2 linked regions of the Alligator mississippiensis genome follow. The protein of the gene in region 1 interacts with the protein of each later gene in a biochemical or structural test. Links are inferred from orthologs where the notes say so. Each region holds a gene or a part of one and is shown in the gene's direction. Other genes may lie near its edges.

What was found. The genes of interacting proteins can lie anywhere in the genome.
Region 2: the proteins of RXFP3 (region 1) and RLN3 form a complex in vitro, tested with the Homo sapiens proteins (2 studies listed by BioGRID, with this or other methods). The link is inferred for Alligator mississippiensis from reciprocal best matches to the Homo sapiens genes RXFP3 and RLN3.

Annotation. Positions count from the first base shown.
Region 1 is NC_081826.1:280,367,153-280,378,623, reverse strand, and holds RXFP3 (relaxin-3 receptor 1), read left to right. Parts: upstream 1-6,768; 5' UTR 6,769-7,416; coding exon 7,417-8,670; 3' UTR 8,671-10,374; downstream 10,375-11,471. UniProt on the Homo sapiens protein: Receptor for RNL3/relaxin-3. Binding of the ligand inhibit cAMP accumulation.
Region 2 is NC_081831.1:23,288,945-23,298,012, forward strand, and holds RLN3 (relaxin-3), read left to right. Parts: upstream 1-6,880; 5' UTR 6,881-6,982; coding exon 6,983-7,142; intron 7,143-8,140; coding exon 8,141-8,373; 3' UTR 8,374-8,424; downstream 8,425-9,068. UniProt on the Homo sapiens protein: May play a role in neuropeptide signaling processes. Ligand for LGR7, RXFP3 and RXFP4.

The DNA of each region.
Region 1 (11,471 bases):
TTGTCAGTTAGGTTGCATAATATTTTTGTTCTGTTATATGAAGATAAAAGTCTATTTGACACTAACATTCATATTAACAATTTTCAAATATGTTTTCAAGTACAATTACCACAAGTAACTTTGACATTTTATCTTGCCATGAGATTTGTATGCCGTTTGAAATGTGTTTTCAGGAATATTCTTAGAGAGAGAGGCATGAACCCCCCGCCCCTCCACGACCCTTTTTCCTCCCCCGCCTTCCCAAGCACATCTGTAAACACCCTGATATCCTGCGGCATGCAGGTTTTCATTTTGAAGAGATGAAGAGAGATTTTGAACAGAAAGCTCATATGCCTATGCTTCCACAAAGACGGGGCATGCAGGGGGAAGGGGATAGAGTTCTAACATTCCAGTGAATTGTAACACTCATCTGCCAACAATTATTGCTCAGTATAATCAAGGGAAGATCAAAGCCTCTCAAAAAGCCAGAGACCACAGGGATCAAGAGCTTAGAAATGGGAAAGTAAAGAACCAAATAGACATGAGAGGCCAGACTCTATTTCTATTAGGCATGTAAGTGGACTTAAATGTCTAAGTGCAATTTTATTTTACCCTGCTTTAGCACCTGAAAAAACTATTAACACAAAAGGTGTATAGGTCCTCTTCTTCCTCCTCCTCACTGCTTTGTGACTCAATCTTATGAGTAAGATGGAAGCATGTAACTATTCTCCAACTATTTGGGTTGGTCTAATAAAAGATATCAGATTCACCCAAGGAACCTTGTCTGCCTATGTCCTTAGACCCAACACGGCTACAACCTAAACCCCTGTAACAAAGTAGATACACTTATGGATTTTCAGGAATTTGAACATATGGAATAGAATTGCACTTAGATGCCTATGTCCATTTAGACATATGACAGGTAGAATACAATCTGGCATAAATAAATGGTAAAGAAATCTCAAATGCAAGTATTATTTATAAAGCAAAATTCTGTGGATAAAATAAAACTTTAGTCAAATGGGCAGAACTCCATATACACATATGGATACAGATTGGTAGACAGATATCATTCTTTGTTAACAAAATCTGTTCAAGACTTTTTACTTTAAAACATATTTTATGCTACAAAATGTCAGTTGTATAGAAAATAGAATCATTTCCCTTGCCAAAGAAATTCAAAATTGCTAACATCTGTTTCGGTCACTATTGTAACTGTAATTAATGCCTCATCTTTGGAGGAGGTCTTAAAAGGATGAGGAAAATGGTAGTAATTCTTCAGAGCAAATAGCATGAAAAAACATTTCTGTATAATGATCATTATTTGAAGCATATTTGAAAGGGTATTTTTAAACACTGTCAGGCAAAAATCATCCCAGATCCAATACCCTGAAAAATCCTTGCAAGAAGGTTGATATGCACCCCTCAGCCAGTCTAAACAATCCCCTTTTGTCCCTTTGACCCAGTCAGAGACTCCCCACACTAACACTAACTCTAAAATATCCCCAGTGAGGCAGGCTGCCTGCTTAAGATCCATAACTCAGTGTCTACAGACCCATTCCCAGGCCTCCACAGGCAACATCTGTCTTAACTGTCACCAATTCCATAGTTTTCTTGGGCAAGTTGGATTCCCATTTCAGCTACCAGGTGCATAGGTCTCTAAAGCACTGCATCACTGCTCAGGGCTGAGAGTCCAGGAGAAAGGGCTCCACCCCAAAGTAGCATCTGTATGCTTCCTCTGTGAGCCCCACTTGATCTAAAGCTACAGATTTGAGGGTGTCATAGGTACACGCAAGCCCAGTAGGCTGCATGACTTTCCCCAGTCAGGTAAGGCACCAGCATGCAGATCACTGCTCCCAGAACCACTGATATGTCCTAGCCACCCACTCAAAAATCTCCAAAAATGCTTTGGGCTCATCATCAGGTCTCATTTTGGTAAATGTTCCACCCCTCCCATCTGGGTTACAGAAGCTACACACACCTGAGCGTGGGGCTTTCCTTGTTTCAGCAATTTCAGCATGAAGTGTTGCTGCTCCTTTTGCCACTTTTGACAAAACTGCTGCTGAATCTGGAGATGCTGCAACAGCTGCTGTTGTTGCTGAAATGCTGATCACTGCTGCTGATGCAACCCCTCCATCAGTGTCAGCCCAGCCTTGGGGTCCATTCTGCAGGCTCAGAGCTAAGGGCTGCCCACTTTCCACCCCCTGTTTATGCAGGTTGGTGTGCCTGCTCCTGTGCCAGCAGGCATTGTCCCCTTAGCAACCCCTCCATCAGTCCAAAGAATACCCTTGATCCAAAAAAACAAACAAGCAAAGCAAAATATTTATCTTTTCTCCGGGCAGCAGGAGAGGGCTCTTTTGGCTCTGGCCCTTCCTAAAAGCTTCTCTAGGTTTCAGTCTACCTCCCAACCACAGACTGCTCTTTCCTTGGCTCTTCTCACTCCTCTTGAGCTGCCAGCTAAGCACTCACACTTGGGCTCCTACCCCAGCACTTGCTGCCCCACTTAAAGGGCCAGATTGCCCTACTACAGTCCTGTATTGCATTACTACACGTGGAGAGTAACAAAGGCTACCATTTTTAACACAAAAGTATAAATAATAAATATTAGATTAATTTTGCTAGAGATTTTCAACTAAGTTTGATGACTTTTAATTTTTTCCCCCAACTAAAGAGATGGGCTGATTATGCGCTGAATAAATTATAGAACAAATATATGCAGGGGTTTAGGTTGTAGCCGTGTTGGTCTAAGGATATAGGCAGACAAGGTTCCTTGGGTGAATTTGATATCTTTTATTAGACCAACCTAAATGGTTGGAGAATAGTTATTAAGCAAGCTTTCGGGTTCAAAAACCCTTCGTCAGGCTAAGGAAGCTGCAGCAGTTTGTGTGTGCTCTTCCTGGATGGAATGCCATGGATGGAACAAATATATGTCTTTTATAATTCAACCAAGGATAGTGAGTTCCTTCAGCTATCTCTAAAATGATTCTTTGAGGTAAAAAGATACAAAACTAGAAGGCAGAAGCATCCAAAACTAAAAGGAAGTCTGTTTGGGTGAAAAGAGCTATACAAATCCTGTGCAACTGCTTCTATCCTTTCATGCAGATTTCCCAGCAAAGCTGCCAAGGAATGTTTCAGCTCATAATCAGCTGAATCTTGTTTGACTGGTTAGCATGATGAAGAGGTATATCTTTCTCATTAGTGACTTTCCTGCCCCGCTGTTCCATGTCTCCTCTCCTCTTTGTACTAAAGCTTCATTACTATTTCGTCTGTGCAAAGTACCAACCAAATGTCCTGGCCAGGAAGATACTGGAGTGGCCAAAAACTAATTTCCTACAAGGCCATCTTTCCATTTAAATTATATAAAAATAAGGTTTTTAGAAAGCCTGTGCACTCAGAATAGGAAAGAAAGGAATCAGCAGGGGACATGGTGAAACATTCTCTTTTGCATATCACGTCCGGCTAGCTGCTGCACAAGGTTGCATTTTCACTGCGTTTGAAAGGAAGCTGATTGACAAAATATACACCACCCCTTGAGTGCTACTTCTAGGGTAATAGTGGGAAGATTAACTAGAAAGAAAATTCAACCACCCTGAAGGAACACAAAAGATATGCCACTATTTCTTATACTAGAGAAGCAAAAGTATCCTTCACTTCCTGACCTCAACTGCTATACAATTTTGTTTTGCAGCACTGTTAACATGTCTACTAGATTTCACCCTAGAACTAACTGTGGTAAAGATGATCTAAGAAGCATTTTGAACTCTTCTGAATAAAAGAGGAAAATTACATTTTTAAAAATGACAGGTATTACCTGTATCTGTCCAATTCAGCACTCTTGATCATGGAAAGGAAGAAGTAAAAAAAAGTATTTCTTCACCTGTCGTGTCTTTAGCTGGTGAAATTCTCTATTCCAAGAGGTCATAAACTCCAGCACCGTGGGTGGATTTAAAAAGCCATAGGACAATTCTGTGATCACTGATATCTTTCCAATGTGAAGTCTGAGTAATGAAGCCAAATGATCATGTCTGACAATATCAGAATAGTTCCACAGATGTCAGGAAGTAATTTTCCCCACTATATAAAAGTGCAAGATAGACCAAGGGCCAGATCCTAAAAAAACAGCTGAAATGCCTGAATGAGGATCTAGACAGACTGCAAGCACATAAATCCCAAACTGTCCCTCCATCCTCCTCACAGTCACTCAGTAGCTACATAACACTAGAGAGGCATTGAATTTACTAAGTACTTCTTAATCTCAAAATTGCTGAATGTTTTTAGGGCTTTGCTGTGTGCCACTGTGGAGCAGAAAATGTGAGAATTATGAAGCTGGAAGACAACACTTGGTTAGAACACGACGTGGTGGGGGCGGGGAGGGGCGGTCCCAGGTTGTAGCTCTATTGGTCTAGAGGCAAAAGGAACCAAGACTCGTGGCAGAGGCGATATCTTTTATTAGACCAACTAGATATTATAAAAAAAAAAAGTCTTTATTTGCAAGCTTTCAGGCACAGGTACCCTTCATCAGCCCTAGGAGACTGCAAAGATCGTAAAAGTTCTCCTAGGTAGAAATGTAAATTCATATTTCACAGGAGAGCTGAGGGTGTGGTAACGTCTCCTGTTTGGAACAGTGCATTTTGTATGGATCAGGCTCAGAGAAAAGTTGGAAAAGTCTTGTTACCTTGACGTTGGGGTCCAGTCCCTGTTCACAGAACTATTTATACATTTTACATTACACTGTTATTTGATAAAAACAAGCAATTCTGAAAGCGGACACCAGAACCCAGAATTCCCATCACCTCCCTGAGTGCCCCAACCATGGTGCCACAGAGTCATGGGCCCTTCTGTTTCCCCTCCTTCCAGCTTCATGAATTCTGTATTCTTTAAAAGGAGAAGAAGCTTCCTCTTCCTCCCCAGCCTCACTTACAGCTTGAGGCTTGCGGGGCTCTCATGGGAGATGAAGGTTTGAATTCCCTCCGGCTAATGAAGGAACTGGATCCAGCTCACTCAATTCATGGGCAAATGTTTAAATTGCTGCCCTCTTATACATACAATGGGGAGGAGGCACCAGTGGCCATGTTTTAGAACAAACTCGGGTCAGTTCTTTCAAACAACCCTTTCATAGGTGTCCAGAGCATGGGCCTAACAGATGGATCCTGATTGCACAGAGGCCGCTGTTCTGCACATAAAAGCACATAAGCAGATGGCTCTTGTGCAGGGCCAAGTGTAATCTCTGGGCTTCTCATAAGTGCCTGTGTACTAGTCCTAAAAAGGCAAGGGATGAGAGCACGTGCCCTGTTGTATACATGTGTGCACCTGCAAACTCTTCAAAAACAGTTAGTACCAGGTCCCCTGACCTCCTCTTGGACATTGATTAAGCAGCTGATATCTTACAAATAGCCCCAGAGATGAAAGCCGTAATAAGGTAGGAAAGAGCGCGCCAGGAGCAAGGAGCAAAGCGCAACATAGCCTGGAAGAGGGTGAGCTGTGTTTGAGTTTTCCAGCATCACAAACTAAGCTGCCAATGTTGTTATCTTCCAGGATCAATATTATTCTTGATGATTTAAGAAATGGAAAGACCAGAGCTGGGTGTTCCAGGTGAAGACTGCAGTGCTAGCAGGCAGGGAAGGAAACAGAAAAACTGAAAAATTGAAATGAAAAGGAAGATTGCTATACCGGGTCCTGCCTTCGCTTAAGCTCTCCCCACTTTCCTCTGCTCTTCCCAGAGACTGCAAACAAGGAGAAGGGTCTGAGTTCAAGGGGTCTCCATCACATGCACACTTCTTATCTTAGCAACTCTTAGTGCCTGTAAGATGAGTTGCCTGTAGGTGCTGGCTTCTTTTTAGATATGTTTTACCTCCTATTTTCTCCTGAAACACCAGAGCCCTCTGGCGGAGGACATCAGAGTACTCATAGGAGATCTTATCCAGTGAAGGATGCTGGAAGTTAATGGCACATAGAGGTTAATGGCTGGGAGGCAGGTGGTGACCCGAACCGGGCCCCCAAACCCCTGCTGGTTCCCTGCTATAATCCTCTATTTCATTTTTTCTACCTTACAAGCAGCGAGTGTCTCAAGTGCCTTTTTTACTGTTTTGCTTCCACATGATTCATTCTAAAATCAGAGGTACTGGAGTTAAGCTTTATAGCTACTTGATGTCAGCCTCTGGTCTGAGGCTGGTTATCTTTCACTGGAGAAAAGTGTTCACAAAGAAAGGGAGTGGGAAAGACAGGGCGGAGGACGCGGGGCCGTCCTGCAGCAGGGAGCAGGGCTCCGCGTGCTGGGACCCGGACGAGAGTCCAAAATCCGAGCAAGACTCTTTGCCACGCAGCCCGACCCCAAAACACCTCCGGAACCGTGAGGGGCTGGTGGGCAACAGCCTGAGACACAGCACAGCTCGGGGAGCTCCCTCGCACCCCACTGGGGACCGAGTCGGCTAGACCAGCGGGCGAGCCACGAAGCACTCGGGCGCTGACAGCAGACGGGGCCGAGGGCAGCCGGGCGGCGGGGCGGGCAGAGACGCGGGCTGGCAGCCCACGGGATGGTGAGGCAGCGCTGCCAACGCGCCTCCTCCTCCCCCTCCTCCTCCTCCTCCTCCGGGCTTTCCAGCGCAGCAGCGCGGGGGAGCGGCAGCCAGGACGGGCAGGGCGAGCCGGTGCCCGCTGCCCCCCGCAGCTTCCAGGCGCTTTAAAAGCGCGGGGCGGAGAGAGGCGCGGGAGCTGCCGGGGGCTGCGCTGCGCCGCGCCGCGCCTGGGCTGAGCCTCGCAGGCAGCGCCTCAGACGGGGCGGGCGCGCGGAGCCACAGCCGGGCCGCAGCGCCGCGCTCAGCACCGCGGAGAGCTCCCGCGGCACCGCCGGGCCCTGGGGCTGCACCGCCGCGCACCGGCACACCGCGGCGGCACCGCCGGGCCCTGGGGCTGCATCGACGGGCACCGGCACACCGCGGCGGCACCGCCGGGCCCCTGGGGCTGCACCGCCGCGCACCGGCACACCGCGGCGGCACCGCCGGGCCCTGGGGCTGCACCGCCGCGCACCGGCACACCGCGGCGGCACCGCCGGGCCCCTGGGGCTGCACCGCCGCGCACCGGCACACCGCGGCGGCACCGCCGGGCCCTGGGGCTGCATCGACGGGCACCGGCACACCGCGGCGGCACCGCCGGGCCCCTGGGGCTGCATCGCCGGGCACCGGTACATCGGGGCTACATCGCCGGGCACCGGCACATCGAGAGCTGCCTCCCCAGGCACCGGTGTCGGCATCGACGGGCACTGGGACACCGGGGGCTGCATCGGCGGACGACCCGGGCCAGCCGCAGCCAGCGCCGGAGCCCCGCGGAGCGAGGGACGCGGCTGCACCGGCCCGGCTCCGCAGCGCGCCTCCGCCGCCGGGACTGGGCGCGGCCCGGGGGCAGGGGCGGCTGCAGCGGGCGCGGCCCCCCGACCATGGGATGGCGGCCGGCTGCGAGCTCGGCTTGTGCTCGCTGGCGGGCGGCGTGACGGGCGCGGCGGAGGGCGGCTGGGCCGGCGGCAACCGGAGCAACGAGTCGCTGGAGGCGGAGGCGGGCGCGGGGCTGCAGGGGGGCGGCTCGGCCGCCGTGCGCCTGGCCGTGTCGGCCGTGTACTCCGTGGTGTGCGCGCTGGGGCTGGTGGGCAACGCGCTGGTGCTGCACCTGATGCGCGGCAAGCGGGGCTGGCGCAAGTCCTCCATGAACCTCTTCGTCACCAGCCTGGCCGCCACCGACCTGCAGTTCGTGCTGACGCTGCCCTTCTGGGCCGTGGAGAACGCGCTGGACTTCACCTGGCTCTTCGGGCGCGTCATGTGCAAGGTGGTGTCATATGTGACGGCCATGAACATGTACGCCAGCGTCTTCTTCCTCACCGCCATGAGCGTGGCCCGCTACCGCACCGTGGCATCGGTGCTCAAGAGCCAGCCCAGGGGCGGCTGTGGCTGCGGCTGCGGCGCCCGCGGGCTCTGTGCCCTCATCTGGGCTCTGGCCGTGGTGGCCGCGCTGCCTCACGCCATTTTCTCCACCACTGCCAACGTCTTCGGCGAGGAGCTCTGCCTGCTGCGCTTCCCCGACAGCCCCAGCGCGCGCGTGCAGCTCTGGCTGGGGCTCTACCAGGTGCAGAAGGTGCTGCTGGGCTTCGTGGTGCCTCTGGGCGTGATCAGCCTGTGCTACGCGCGCCTGGTGCGCTTCCTCCGTGGCCGCCACGCAAGCCAGCGCCGCTCAGCCAAGGTGACGCGCTCGGTGAGCGTGGTGGTGCTCAGCTTCTTCGTGTGCTGGCTGCCCAACCAGGCGCTCACGGCCTGGGGTGTCCTGGTCAAGCTGAACGCCGTGCCCTTTGGGCCTGCCTACTTCCTGTCGCAGGCCTACCTCTTCCCCGTCAGCGTGTGCCTGGCGCACTGCAACAGCTGCCTCAACCCCGTGCTCTACTGCCTCATGCGGCGCGAGTTTCGCCAGGCCCTCAAGAGCCTGCTGTGGCGCCTCGCCTCACCCTCGCTCACCTCCATGCGCCCCTTCACCCTCAGCACCAAGCCCGAGCCTGACGAGCAGGCCCTGCCTGCCCTGGTGCCCCTGCCTGCTGCTGCTCCACTGCCTGCCACCACCCCATCTGAGCTGCTCTACTACCCGCCTGGCGTGGTGGTCTACAGCGGCCGTTGCGACCTGCTGCCTGCTGGCCCCAGTGAGCAGCGCTGCTGAGCGCCCACCCCGATGGCTGTGACTGTGGGGTGGGATGTCTGGGCACAAAGGCAAGCCCTGCAGCGTTCCTTGGACCTGGCCTCCACCCCACAGGCCTCAGGGACTGGGCTGAGGCCCTTTGAGGTACAGGGGTGTTGCCCCTGGCTGGACAGTGCTGAGGGGCCAGGATAAGGTGGCAGGGAGCTCCCACAGCATCAGCTTCAGTGCCAGGCTTCCCTGAGGAGCCACTTTGCACAGCTGTGGTGGGCCCTACATGCCCAGGGGGCTTGGAGAGGGAAGTTGGGCACCTGAGGGGAAAAAGCAAAGCCTGAGACCATACTGCATCGCTTGTGTCTGATCCTGATCCCCCACCCATAGCTGCTGCAGGGCAGGAGGAAGCTGAGGCACTGGCTCAAGCCCGCAGGCTGGGGGTGCAGAACCTCCTGCTGCAGCCAGGTTTTGTCTTTACACACTTGTGTCTGGGCTAGAGGCTTCATCCTCGCTGTGGTTCATGCTGGCCAGTGATTCCCAGAGTTGGAAACAATGATCTGGACGCTCTGCAGAGGTTTGTTCCAGGGCAAATGTCTGCCACGAACATTTGAGTTCAGCCAAGAACAGGCTGCACAGTCTGCATTCTCCAAAAACATGTTTGCCAGGTGTCTACCCTGCCCTTTACTGCCATGTCAGTATTGTGCCAGCCAGCTAAGCTAAAAGAGAAGCAGGAAACTCAGGGTAGATCCTGCATGTGACATTTATTCCTGTCAGATACAAGAACAATAGATTTTCTCGCTTCAGTTGCCAGAGCAAAACACTGGGGAAAATTTATTTCAGACTGACCGTTTCACAGATTTGAAATAAAAACTGTCATTTAGCCATTATTTCATGCTTTTTTTTTTTCTTTTTTTAAACTTTGTTTAGGTTGATATGGAAAGAAAAATGTAAGTTTGCAATGAAATACCACAATAGCTCTTTACATGTCTCATTTTGACATTTTTTAGTGAATTTCTTCCCTTTTCTCAGCCAAAACCATTACTTGAATTCAAAACAAGTTTATGAATAGTTTTGGTCACCTCCAAACTGCAGTTTTTGTTTAACATTTGGCAGAGAGAGAGAGAGAGAGGTAGTTAACAGTATTATGAGTTTTTCTCAGTTATGCTGAAAAGGGTTTGTGTGACTATAGGCTGAGAGCTGGCTTTCTGCAGCGGAGTGATTTCCACTTCCATGCACAGCGATAGAGTAGAGCCTGAGACTTTCTGTTTTTGCCTCGGCCAACCTTGTACTGACTTCAGTGGGAGTTGTGGTTTCCAGGGGGCTGGACAAAAAGAGAGTAAAATCCAAGGAGGTGGAATTAAGACTTGCTCCTCTGCCCAGGAGCTACAAACTTGAATAAATAAATAAAACAGTGGAGATGAGGGATCCTTACAGTCCTTGTCACTGCCTTACTAGAAGGACTTAGAGCTTCCTAAAGACTCTGAAGGTCTCTGAGTAGGGATATGTATCAAATTATACATACAGAGCAAACATGGAATATTGACCCATAATAGATGACAAATCACAAACTGAAAACTAAATCAGATATGAAATTCATTTCTTTATGACCGAAGACAGTTGATGAAACTTGTTTTTTTCTGTGCGAGAAAAATTAAGAGATAATGTGACAAGTGGCAATAGCTCTTCAGAGTAAAAAAAATAGACCAAATAAATAAACAGGACCGCTGAGCGCTCCTCGCTTTTGTATACGCAGTTTTCAATTATGACTGCCCGCTGTTTTTCAAAGGGACCCCCGCTTCATTTAGTGCTTAAGATGGATGATGCAAAACAAATGGATTGATTGTTTAGTATTTATCTTTATCTTCACTGCTCAATGGCTGGCTCTATTGCATTTTTCACCACATACCATCTAACTCCATATCGAACAAACCTGGGACCTGGAGAAAACAGCTCTTCTTTATATTCATGGCACAAGGCTGCTCAGATAGTATATATGAGAATTGAGAAAAATTATACTTTCATTTGAAGCTGTATCATAGATTGGAGATAAGTAAATTGGTAACAATTTACATTTAGCAACAATTAGCTCAGCATTACAGACATGGGAAAGATATACAGATAAAAATGTTAACAATCCTTTGTTAGTCAAAAACAGTAGACTTTGTGTACTTGTGTAGATTTTGAAATTTACTTTGAAAAGTCTGTAAAAATGGTATGTTTATCTTCTCAGCTCAGCTTTCTCGTATATGGTCATATAGAGAGAGAATCATAAACACTTAGATTAATGGTGCAACTATATTTTTGCCCCTTTCCTTTTCTCCTCAAACTAAAGATGAAGCTCAGAGAGACTCAAAGGAATTTTATTCCTCCTGCTGTATCATAAAGAGAATTATTTACTACGCTCCAATCAGACATGCCTGTGCAAACCCAGTGATAGCAATTAGGCTGCGCAGTTGTCAGCACGCTCCTGATCTGAAGACAATCATGATTCCATAGCACTAACAGACTAATTTCACCTGCTGAGCTTGCCTAGTTGATGATGAAGTATGAAAAAAAAAGAACGGAGTTTGTACCCCGAGCTTTAAGGGACACAAATGTATGAATTGATGTATCCAAAACACTTCTAGGAATCTGACTAACGTTGCTATGAAATTATTGAAACACAAACATGTAATTACTATGCTTTTTTTTTTTTTACAGACACCCCTCTCAAAGGAGAAGCAGTGTAGTAAGGTATTGCCTGTGGACAACTAAACAACACATCCTTGCTAACTCTTATGATTTTATGACAAGTCTCACAATATATGGTGCTTTTCTTAAAGTTTCAGCTC
Region 2 (9,068 bases), on another chromosome or scaffold:
GCAGTGTGTGTGATTCAGGGACACTACCCCCCGGAAACCTCACAGTAACATCACAGCTGGGCCAAGTTGCCTGGGCAGTACCCCTTCCCTCTGACATCACTGGCTGGAGTGACATCACCCTGTGACATCACACCCCCTCCCTTGCCCAGAAGCAGGGCTCCCCTCTCAGTGAGGAGAGACTCCCCACTTTTCCCTCACACTGCTCCCCGCTCCCTTAGCCTCCCATCATTGGCCGACCCCACGGCCCCGCCTCTTCCCATTGGTCCGTCCGCCCACCAATCACCAGGGAGCGCTGCAAGCCCCGCCCGCCGGGCCTGGGCCCTTTTTAATCCCGGGGCAGCCACCTGGCCCCTCAGTCGGGGGAGGGCGGCGCCTCCCCCCCCGCCCACCCCTAGTGAGGGTGGTTCTTAGTGCCCCATTCCCCCCAGCACCCCCGCCATTTTGTATCTGGGGGTAGAACTAAAGTAGGACCCACCTTACTGGTCCCTCCCGTGGCCCGGGCCAGGAGCCCCGCGGAGGATCCGACGCGGCGGGTCGGGTCGAGCGCCTCGGCCCGCGGGTGCTGGCGGGGTCCCGAGGAGTCGCTGGCGGGGCGGGGGGAGGTGGAGGCGCGGGGGGGGGGCCGCTCGGGGCGGTTGTTGTTATTGTTGCCGGGTTTCCTGGTCGCCACGACTACCGTGGCTATGGCGCCCTCCGTGTTCCCTCACCGGGGCAACTGTTGCTACCCACCTCGGCTACGGGCGGGGCTGGAAGGAAGGGGGAGAAAGGGAGGCCCTCACCACCCCAGGCGCCGATTGGCCAAGGTGGGCGCCACCATTGGTGGTTCCTCTTGCTTATCTCTGAGTTCCCCGAGCCGATTGGCTCGAGGCCCCGCTACTCAGTGCCCGCCCCGCCCTCCGTGCTGATCGCGAGCAGTCGCTTGCGTGGGGCGGGCGCCGATTGGCTCTTCGCCGCGTCTGTCGACGTGCCCTTCGTCTGTCTCGTGGATGGGGGCGGGGTTTGGAAAGACGGAGGTGGATTGGGCCAGCATGGAGTTGGCGGGCTGAGAATGGCTTTGGGCACTGTCAGTCAGCTGAAGGAGGCTGGGGGAGGCATATTAACCTCGCCCCAGTGTGGGAGGAGGTGCGCATGCTCCACCGGCTTTGTGGGCTTCTGGGAATTGTAGTCTCAAAAGCTTTCTCTTCCTCTCTTGTCCTTCTTCTCCCCCCCTCCCGCCCCCCGCACCGGTCCTAGTAGCTGGATGGTCCTGTGCCCCCCTACGTCACTGTGTGTCCTATTACATTACTAGCTTGGGTAGCATGTGTTTATGACACTTTGTGAAACTGTGATGTCATAAAGTCGCCAAGCAGGCAAGGTTCTTTGGGTGAATCTGATATCTTTTATTAGACCAATTTATAGTTGGAAAACAATTATTGAGCAAGCTTTTGGGTTCAAAAACCCTTCATCAGGCTAAGGGTCCTTAGCCTGACGAAGGGTTTTTGAACCCAAAAGCTTGCTCAATAATTGTTTTCCAACTATTTAAGTTGGTCTAATAAAATATATCAGATTCACCCAAAGAACCTTGTCTGCCTATATCCTTAGACCAATAGGGCTACAACCTACACCCCTATAAAGTGCCATGTAGAAAACATTGGTGAATGTGCCACCAGGCATGTTTTATGACATCACTGTGAGGTCAATGGGGTTGCAAGTGTGATTGCTGCTGCCGTGTGATTATGTGTGTGGCATATTTGCTAGTCTGCCAGGTTCTTGGGATCTTGTATGCTGGCATCATGAGAATGTGGCACCTAGTGACCTCACGGTCGTGTGACATCATCAGCAGGGTCCCAGTGGCTTAGTGGTGACCCCACTCAGCTATGTGATCCATCTCCCCAGGGCAGATGGCCAGGAAGGTTTCTGAGCTGTCAAGAGTTCACAGCACAGGAAAGGTCAGGATCCCTGGCCCAGTTCCATGCAGCTCTGAGTTGGCCAGTGACATTCTGCTTCCTTTCCACCTGGCTCCCAAACCTCAGCTCCTTCCTTGGAGTGTCCTGTGCACACTAGAGTGACAGAGTAATGGACCGGGTGTATCTAGTGATCCATCTGCTATTCCAGCCTGACTTTCCTTTGATCCTATGAACCTGCTAACAAGTCTCTCAGGTTAACAATGTGCTGCATGGAGAGGAAAAAAAGAAGCCCTTGTTCTTAGTTTTAAACCAGTCTCCTGCTCACGTCGGTGGTGTACCTTAATTCTAGTTTCTTGGGACTTGGTGAATACCAGCTCCCTGTTCACTTGGTCCATGCCCTTCATGACTTTATAGACCTCTATCAACTTCCCCATCATTGGCCTTCTCCTTTCCTAACTAAAGACTCAGCCTTTTAGTCTCTCCTGGCTTGGCAATGGCTCCAGCCCCCTGATCATTGTGGTTGCCTTTCTCTCAACTTTGTCTAATTCTCTGACCTCCTACCCTGAGATGTGGGGATCCAAGCTGCCCTCAGGGATTTGAGTTGTGGGTGCCCCATGAATTTGTATGATGCCACAATGATGTTCTCTGTTTTCAGTTCTCTTTTTAGCAATGCCTGACATTTTACGGTTGGGGGGGAGTTGATCTCTCTTATTGGCCCAACTGCGTGGGTGAGGTGGATATTAGCCAGTGGTCAGAGATCACAGTCCCCTTCCTCAGGCCTCTGGGGTAGAGTTAAATAGCAGAGGGAACAAAAGCTCATGTAAAACTCCATCTCTCCAATATTTTATTGGCTCTTTTGGTTGATGCTGCACATCGTGTTGATGGTTTTTAGAGAACTGTCTATGACTTCAAGGTCTCCAAGTCATAACAGCTCAATCAGAAGTGACGAAAACAGTCTTCAAGGTTGTGATATAGGAGCTGTGTATGACCAGGAGCCATGAACAGAGAGCAGAACTTCAGAAGAAAGGGTCTTCATTAGGGGAACATGAAGACCATTAAAAAAAAGGAGAGAGGGTCATTAACACCTGTGGAGTGATGAGTGTAGCAGGAACTAGGGAGACAATAAGAGCCCTGAAGTCAATGGATTCCCCCGTTGCTGTCTCAATAGGAATGTTACTGCTGTCACAGCCAGGCAGTTGGTTTTAAACTTTGTGGGGAGCAGGAATCAAAGGTTAGGGGGCTCTAGAGAAGAGAATGTGGATCAATAGCTTGAAGTTGCAGCAAAGTAGGCTTAGGGTGGATCTTAGGAAAAGCTTCTTCATGGCTAGAGCAGGAGGTCTGTGGAGTAGATTCCCAGGGAAGCTGTACTCTCTCCATTATTAGAGGGTTTAGGAGAGGCTGGACAGCCACTGGTCAGGGATGATCTAGGCCTAGCCATGCCAGTGTTTTACTATGGGGGTTTTCCAGGCTTCTGGGCTTTGTTGGACTGGCTCATAGCTCACAGTGTACTCCCAATGAAGGCATGGAGGCACAGAGTGAGACAAGAGTTTAGACCCAGCTGTCCCAGGGAAAGCTGCCAAGGTGTGAATGAGACCATGGACCACCTTTTTTGGCTCTGTGGAAAAAGGTAAACCGGCTCCTGGAGGAAGTGACAGGAGTCATGCTGATGACAAGGGATGTGGCGCTATATGGATACCTGACTAAACATCAGGGGTCCCAGATAACCTGCTTCGACCTGTTTGAGTCCTGCATCAGGAGTGCCCTGTGGCAATGCAGGAACCTCCTGATGTACAGTCACATTAAGCTTGAGCAAACAGACTATGTTAAAATGTTTCTGAGTGAACTCCAGCCCTATTACTGGAAAATGGTGGGAGAGGACACAGCCAACTCTGTCTGGAAAAGGGACATGTGGCACAGGCTGTTCAAAGCCCCCCCGAGAAGGGCAGAGGACAGGGAGAATGAAGAGGACAATGACACAACTGGACCTGAAGATAGCGAGGAGGACAACAGGATCAGCAGCAGTGGAAGTAACAGTGACATCAACAGCAACAAGGACTATGAATGAACTGAGAAGGGAAATCCCAAATCAGGGCTGGGACTAAGAGACTGTGTTTGGGTTAGGGAAGGGCAGAGGGTAGGTGTGCGGGGGGCGCAGGGGAACAGGTGTGGTTATTGTACCAGGTGCATGGGCTTATTAAGGTGGTTTGGAAAAGAAAAGGTGCAGTGGAAGTCTATGACAGAGGATGTGTGTATATACATATACCTAATATATTTTAATTAAAAAAAAAATAATTCTGGGCTTTGTTGATTTGCCGTGTGGGGCTGGCTGGGAGGGAATTCTACCTTCCTGCCCCCCTGCTTCCTGCTACTGATGTCAGGGTATTTTTAAGTTTCTCTTGGAGGCATTGAGTGTTGGCTGCAGCCCAGGCTGGAGAAGGTGACTGGGCTGTGCCAGTGCTCCTGCTGGGACTCAACCTAGAGACTCCTGGCTAGAGGGTCTTGCCCCTCCATTCAGGCTCAGACCAATGCCACATTGGGGTCAGGAAGGAATTTCCCACCCTGGGTAGATTGGTACAGGCTGGTGCAGGGAGGTGCCTTCCTCTGTAGTGGGGCACAGTCTCTGCCTGGGGTCTCTTGAATGTGTATTAACAGCTTTTGCCGAAGCAGGACGTTGGCCACCATGATTCCTTGGCTTTCCCTGTGGAGGTTCAGGTGCAATGTTGTGTGAGGGTTGATGGTAGGTTTGCTCAGAGGTTAAACAATGGATTTGTCTAGGATGGTTTGGACAGGGCTGATCCTCCCTCAGGCAGGGGGTTTGACTGGATGCAATCTCTGGAGGTCCTTTTCAGCCCCATGACTCTAGAATTCGATGATTGCACCACCCTGCATCTGCCCCATTCATGGCTGATAGATTTATTAGCGTCTGTTGAACAGAACAGTTGGAGATGTTTCTTCTGGTGTTCCTATCCTAATAAATGGCAGATGATGGGAGGGTATTGACTAGAGGATGGATCACTCTGGACATCCCCAGTTCAATGCTCTCTGTCTATAGCATCCATCACTGCCACTGTCGGAGACAGGATACTGGGCTAAATGGACCATGGGTCTGCCCCATTCTGGTCCTTCCTATGTTCATGTGTCCAGTCTGTCTCCAGGAAGTTAAAGCCAGCAATGTTTGAAGAACTAGCAGCTGCCTCTGATCCCTGCAGAGCCTACAGAGTCCCAGCAGCCCCCAAATACTCCCATCCCACTGCCCTGTCCCTCATCTTTCCCCAAACCTGTCACCCACAGTCTATCCTAGTGAGGGACACTGGTCAGAAGTGCTGGTTCCCAGTCTCTCCCAGCGAAGGGCACTGGGAAGAAGCACTAGTTTGGGGGGGGGGGGGGGAGAGCTTGCCCACACCTGATGCTACTCCCCTCCCCCCAACCAAACACACACACCCAATCTCTGCAGCAGCCCCAGCCTCCAGGCTCTTATGATGATGGGCATGAATAATTCTCCTCATGGAAGGACCTGGACCCCCCTCCTCTCCAGAAGACTGATCTCTGGGCCAAGGTGGAAGCTTGGGTTTCATCGGCTGTTTGCCCCCGCTCCAGTGGGGTTATCTCTCTGCAGCAAGCTATGGCCTGGCCTTTGCGAGGCCTTATCGGGGAGGAAGGCAAGAGTGTTGTGGAATGAGATAAGGAAAGTTCAGCCAGCTGTGGGTTCTGGCGGGATGTGAGAGCAGTGAGTCGGGAGTGGAGGATGCTCATGGGTGGGGTACCTCAGTGCCCAAACTAGCACTTCTGCCCAGTGCCCTTTTTACTGGGAGAGACTGGGAACCAGTGCTTCTGCCCAGTGCCCCTTCCTGGGAGAAACTGGGATCCCCCCAAGCCAGGGCTTCTGCCCAGGGCCCCTTACTGGGAGAGATTGGGAGCATGTTTGTTACTAAGTGCAGGGATTTTCTGTGTGTGTGTGTGTGTGTGTGTGTGTGTGTGTGTGTGTGTGTGCATGTGCATGCATGTGCACACAAGTGCCTAGGGTGACACATGTGGCAGAAGTATGTGTGTGTGTGTGTGTGTGTGTGGGCAAGGTATCTGTGAAGGGAGGCAGTTCACCCATGGCAAGCAGTGTGCAAGTTTGTATGGGAGTGGGTAGGCCGGGGCTGTCGGTGTGTTGGCATGGTGGAGAGAACACATGTGTGGAAAGCATGTGGGGTGCGTGTGTTGGGGGAGAGAGAGTGAAACTGGTGAAGAAGAGCATATGTATGTGTGTGTGTGTGTGTAGGAGGGACCAGAAGTGCAGTGAAGAAGAGTGGACACGTGGGTGTGTGTGTGTGTGGGGGGGGGACCAGAAGTGTGGTGAAGGACGATGCACACGTGTGAGGGGGAACAGAAGTGCTGTAAAGGACAGCATGTGTGTGTGTGGGGGGGACCAGAACTATGGTGAAGAAGATCATGCGTGTGTGTGTGTGTGTGTGTGTGTGTGTGTGTGTGTGTGTGTGTTGGCTTGGGGACCAAGAGAGTACATGTGCATATGTTTGCGTGAGGGGACCAGACATGCAGTAAAGGAGAGCTCACATGTGGGAGGGAAAGACCAGAAATGAACTGAAGGTGAGCTCGCATGCATGAATGTGTGTGTGTGTGTGTGTGTGTGTGTGTGTGTGTGTGTGTGTGTGTGTGTAGGGGGGACCAGAGGCACAGTGAAGAACAGTGCACATGCATATGTGTACAGGGGACCCAGCACTCCCATGCAGAAGAAGTTACATGCCAGGAGTCCCATGTGTGGACACACGTGTACATCCGAGACCCAGCTCATGTACACGAGTCCCCAAGGCCCCGTGTGAAGCCAGGAGGCAGTGGGCACCGACAGGGGCGGGGGGGAGTGATGGAGCAGGTGGGGGCTGAGAGAGGCCAGGGGGGGATCAGGTGTGACTCATGCCTCGCATGCAAAGGTTATCTGCTTCTCTCTCCAGCTCTCAAACTGGCTCTGGCTCCGGCCCCCACAACCCATCTCCCCAGGGTGGGGGTGGGGGGTGGGGGGGGGCCCTGTGTAGACTATTTAGGCCCCACAGCCGTGCCAGGAGGCTGCTCTGGGCTCCGCGCTCTATCCAGCCATGCAGAAGTTGCTGGCAGTGCTGGTGCTTGGGACTCTGCTCGTGACACCCAAGCTGGAGGCTGAGGCCCGGGGTCCCCCCTATGGTGTCAAGCTTTGTGGCCGTGAGTTCATCCGTGCCGTCATCTTCACCTGTGGTGGATCCCGCTGGCGGCGGGCAGGTGAGTGGGGGCCCGGACTCCTGGGTTCTGTTGCTGGAGCGGGCAGGGGGGAGTGAGCCGAGTTTCCTGGGTTCCATCCCCAGCTCTAGGAACGGAGAGGGATGCAGGGATATGAGACTCCTGGGTTCCATATCCAGCTCTAGAGAGCAGTGGGGGCTAGTGGTTGGAGCAAGGCAGGAGGCTGGGAGCCAGCACTCCTGGATTAATTTCCCTGCCCTGCTCTTGACTTGCAGGGTGACTTTTAATGAGTCGCTGTCTTTTCCTATCCTCAGCCTTCCTGCCTGGGAAATGGGTGCAAGGTGTGGGGGAGGCAGGGGCCCCAGGAAGAACTGGAATCAGGCCCAGGGGTCTAGGGAGGGGGCAGTGGGTCAGGATGGCACCATCTTGGGTCTGACAGTGCCCAGTACCACTCACCAGGGGAAAGTGAATGGAATGTACGTGTTGTCATGGAGACTGGGAGCCAGGACTCTTGGGTTCTCTCAGCTCCGGGAAGCGTGTTGGGAGAGGAAACTGGTGGCCGGAGCAGGGGTGAGGGAGCACTGGGAGCCAGGCAGGGGGCTCTGTGCAGCTGCTGGCTGCCATTGGGGCTGTTCACCCATGGGTCCTAGGCTTTGTATGGCTCATAGCACAGAGGTGATCCCTCTCCCAGCTCATTCATGGGTCCTAAGCCCTATATTGGTTACAACACAAAGGTGTTTCCCCCTCCCATAGCTCATCCATGGGTCCTGAGTCCTGTATCGTTCATAGCACACTGCCCAGCTCTTCCATGGGTCTTAAATCCTATATCACTCATAGCACAAGGGTGATTCCCTGCCCCCACCCCCCATTGACTCATTCATGCGTCCTGAGCCCTATATTGCTCACAACACAAGGGCAATTCTGACCACCCCCTCCTGCCCCACAGCTCCAGCAGCAGGGCAGCATGCTGGCAGGGCAGAAAGAAGCTCCATTGCGGGCCGGATTAACCCTTTGCGCTTCCCTCTCCACTCTCTTCTTAGGGGACCCTGATGCCCTGAACGGCCTCCTGGGAGGGGACGAGTCGTCGGAGGCAGCTGGCTCCAGCGAGTGGGATCCTGGGAGGCTCCCGGAGCGGTGGCAGGGTCGGGGCAGCCGGGGGGGGCTGGATGAGAGTTGGGCCCCACCCCGGGGTCCCCGCGATGTTGTCACTGGGCTCAGTGCTGCCTGCTGCCGCTGGGGCTGTAGCAAGAGCGAGATCAGCTCCCTCTGCTAGAGCAGGGGAGCTGAGGGGTCCTCACTGGGGCAGCTGTGCTGTAAACAGACTCCAATAAAGCATCAGACAAAGCCCATGTTGGAAGCTGGACTCGGACCTGGGTGATATCGGACTACCCCACCCCCACAGCACCCACTGCTGGCCAAGGCTGGTGCAGTAGGGGCTGGGGATTGCCCCAGTCTGGGCTTTCTTGCCTCTCTGTGCAAAAGCACCCCTCTGACTATGTCTGGTTATTGCCCCAGCCCCCTCCCCCCCTCCATGGCTGGGGGTTGCCTCATCCTTGACCTTTCCTGCCTCCTACATAGGAAGGGGGGGCAGGGGACAGTGGGTGTTGCCCTGGGGAGGCAGCCTGGTGGGGCTGATAAGGACACAGCCCATTCACAGGTTGGTTGGGTGACCTCCGCTAACCCCTCCATAGCCAGGGCGGAACCCGGGACTCCCTAGCTCCAGCCCCTCCCCCTCCCTCAGGGACCCCAGGAGTCCTGGCCCCTGCCCCACCCCACCCCACATTGCCTGTGGAACCCCAGAGTGCTGGACTCTGGGCACATCTGCTTCCTGCCCCCTTGTGGCCATTAGTCTCCATGTCCCTGCCCAAGCAAGGGAGAGAATCCAGGTGTCCTGTCCCTGGCATGGGGTGCAGTGGGGGGAGGGACACTGAGGTAGTGCGGTGTCCAGACACCTGGGTTCCTTTCCCA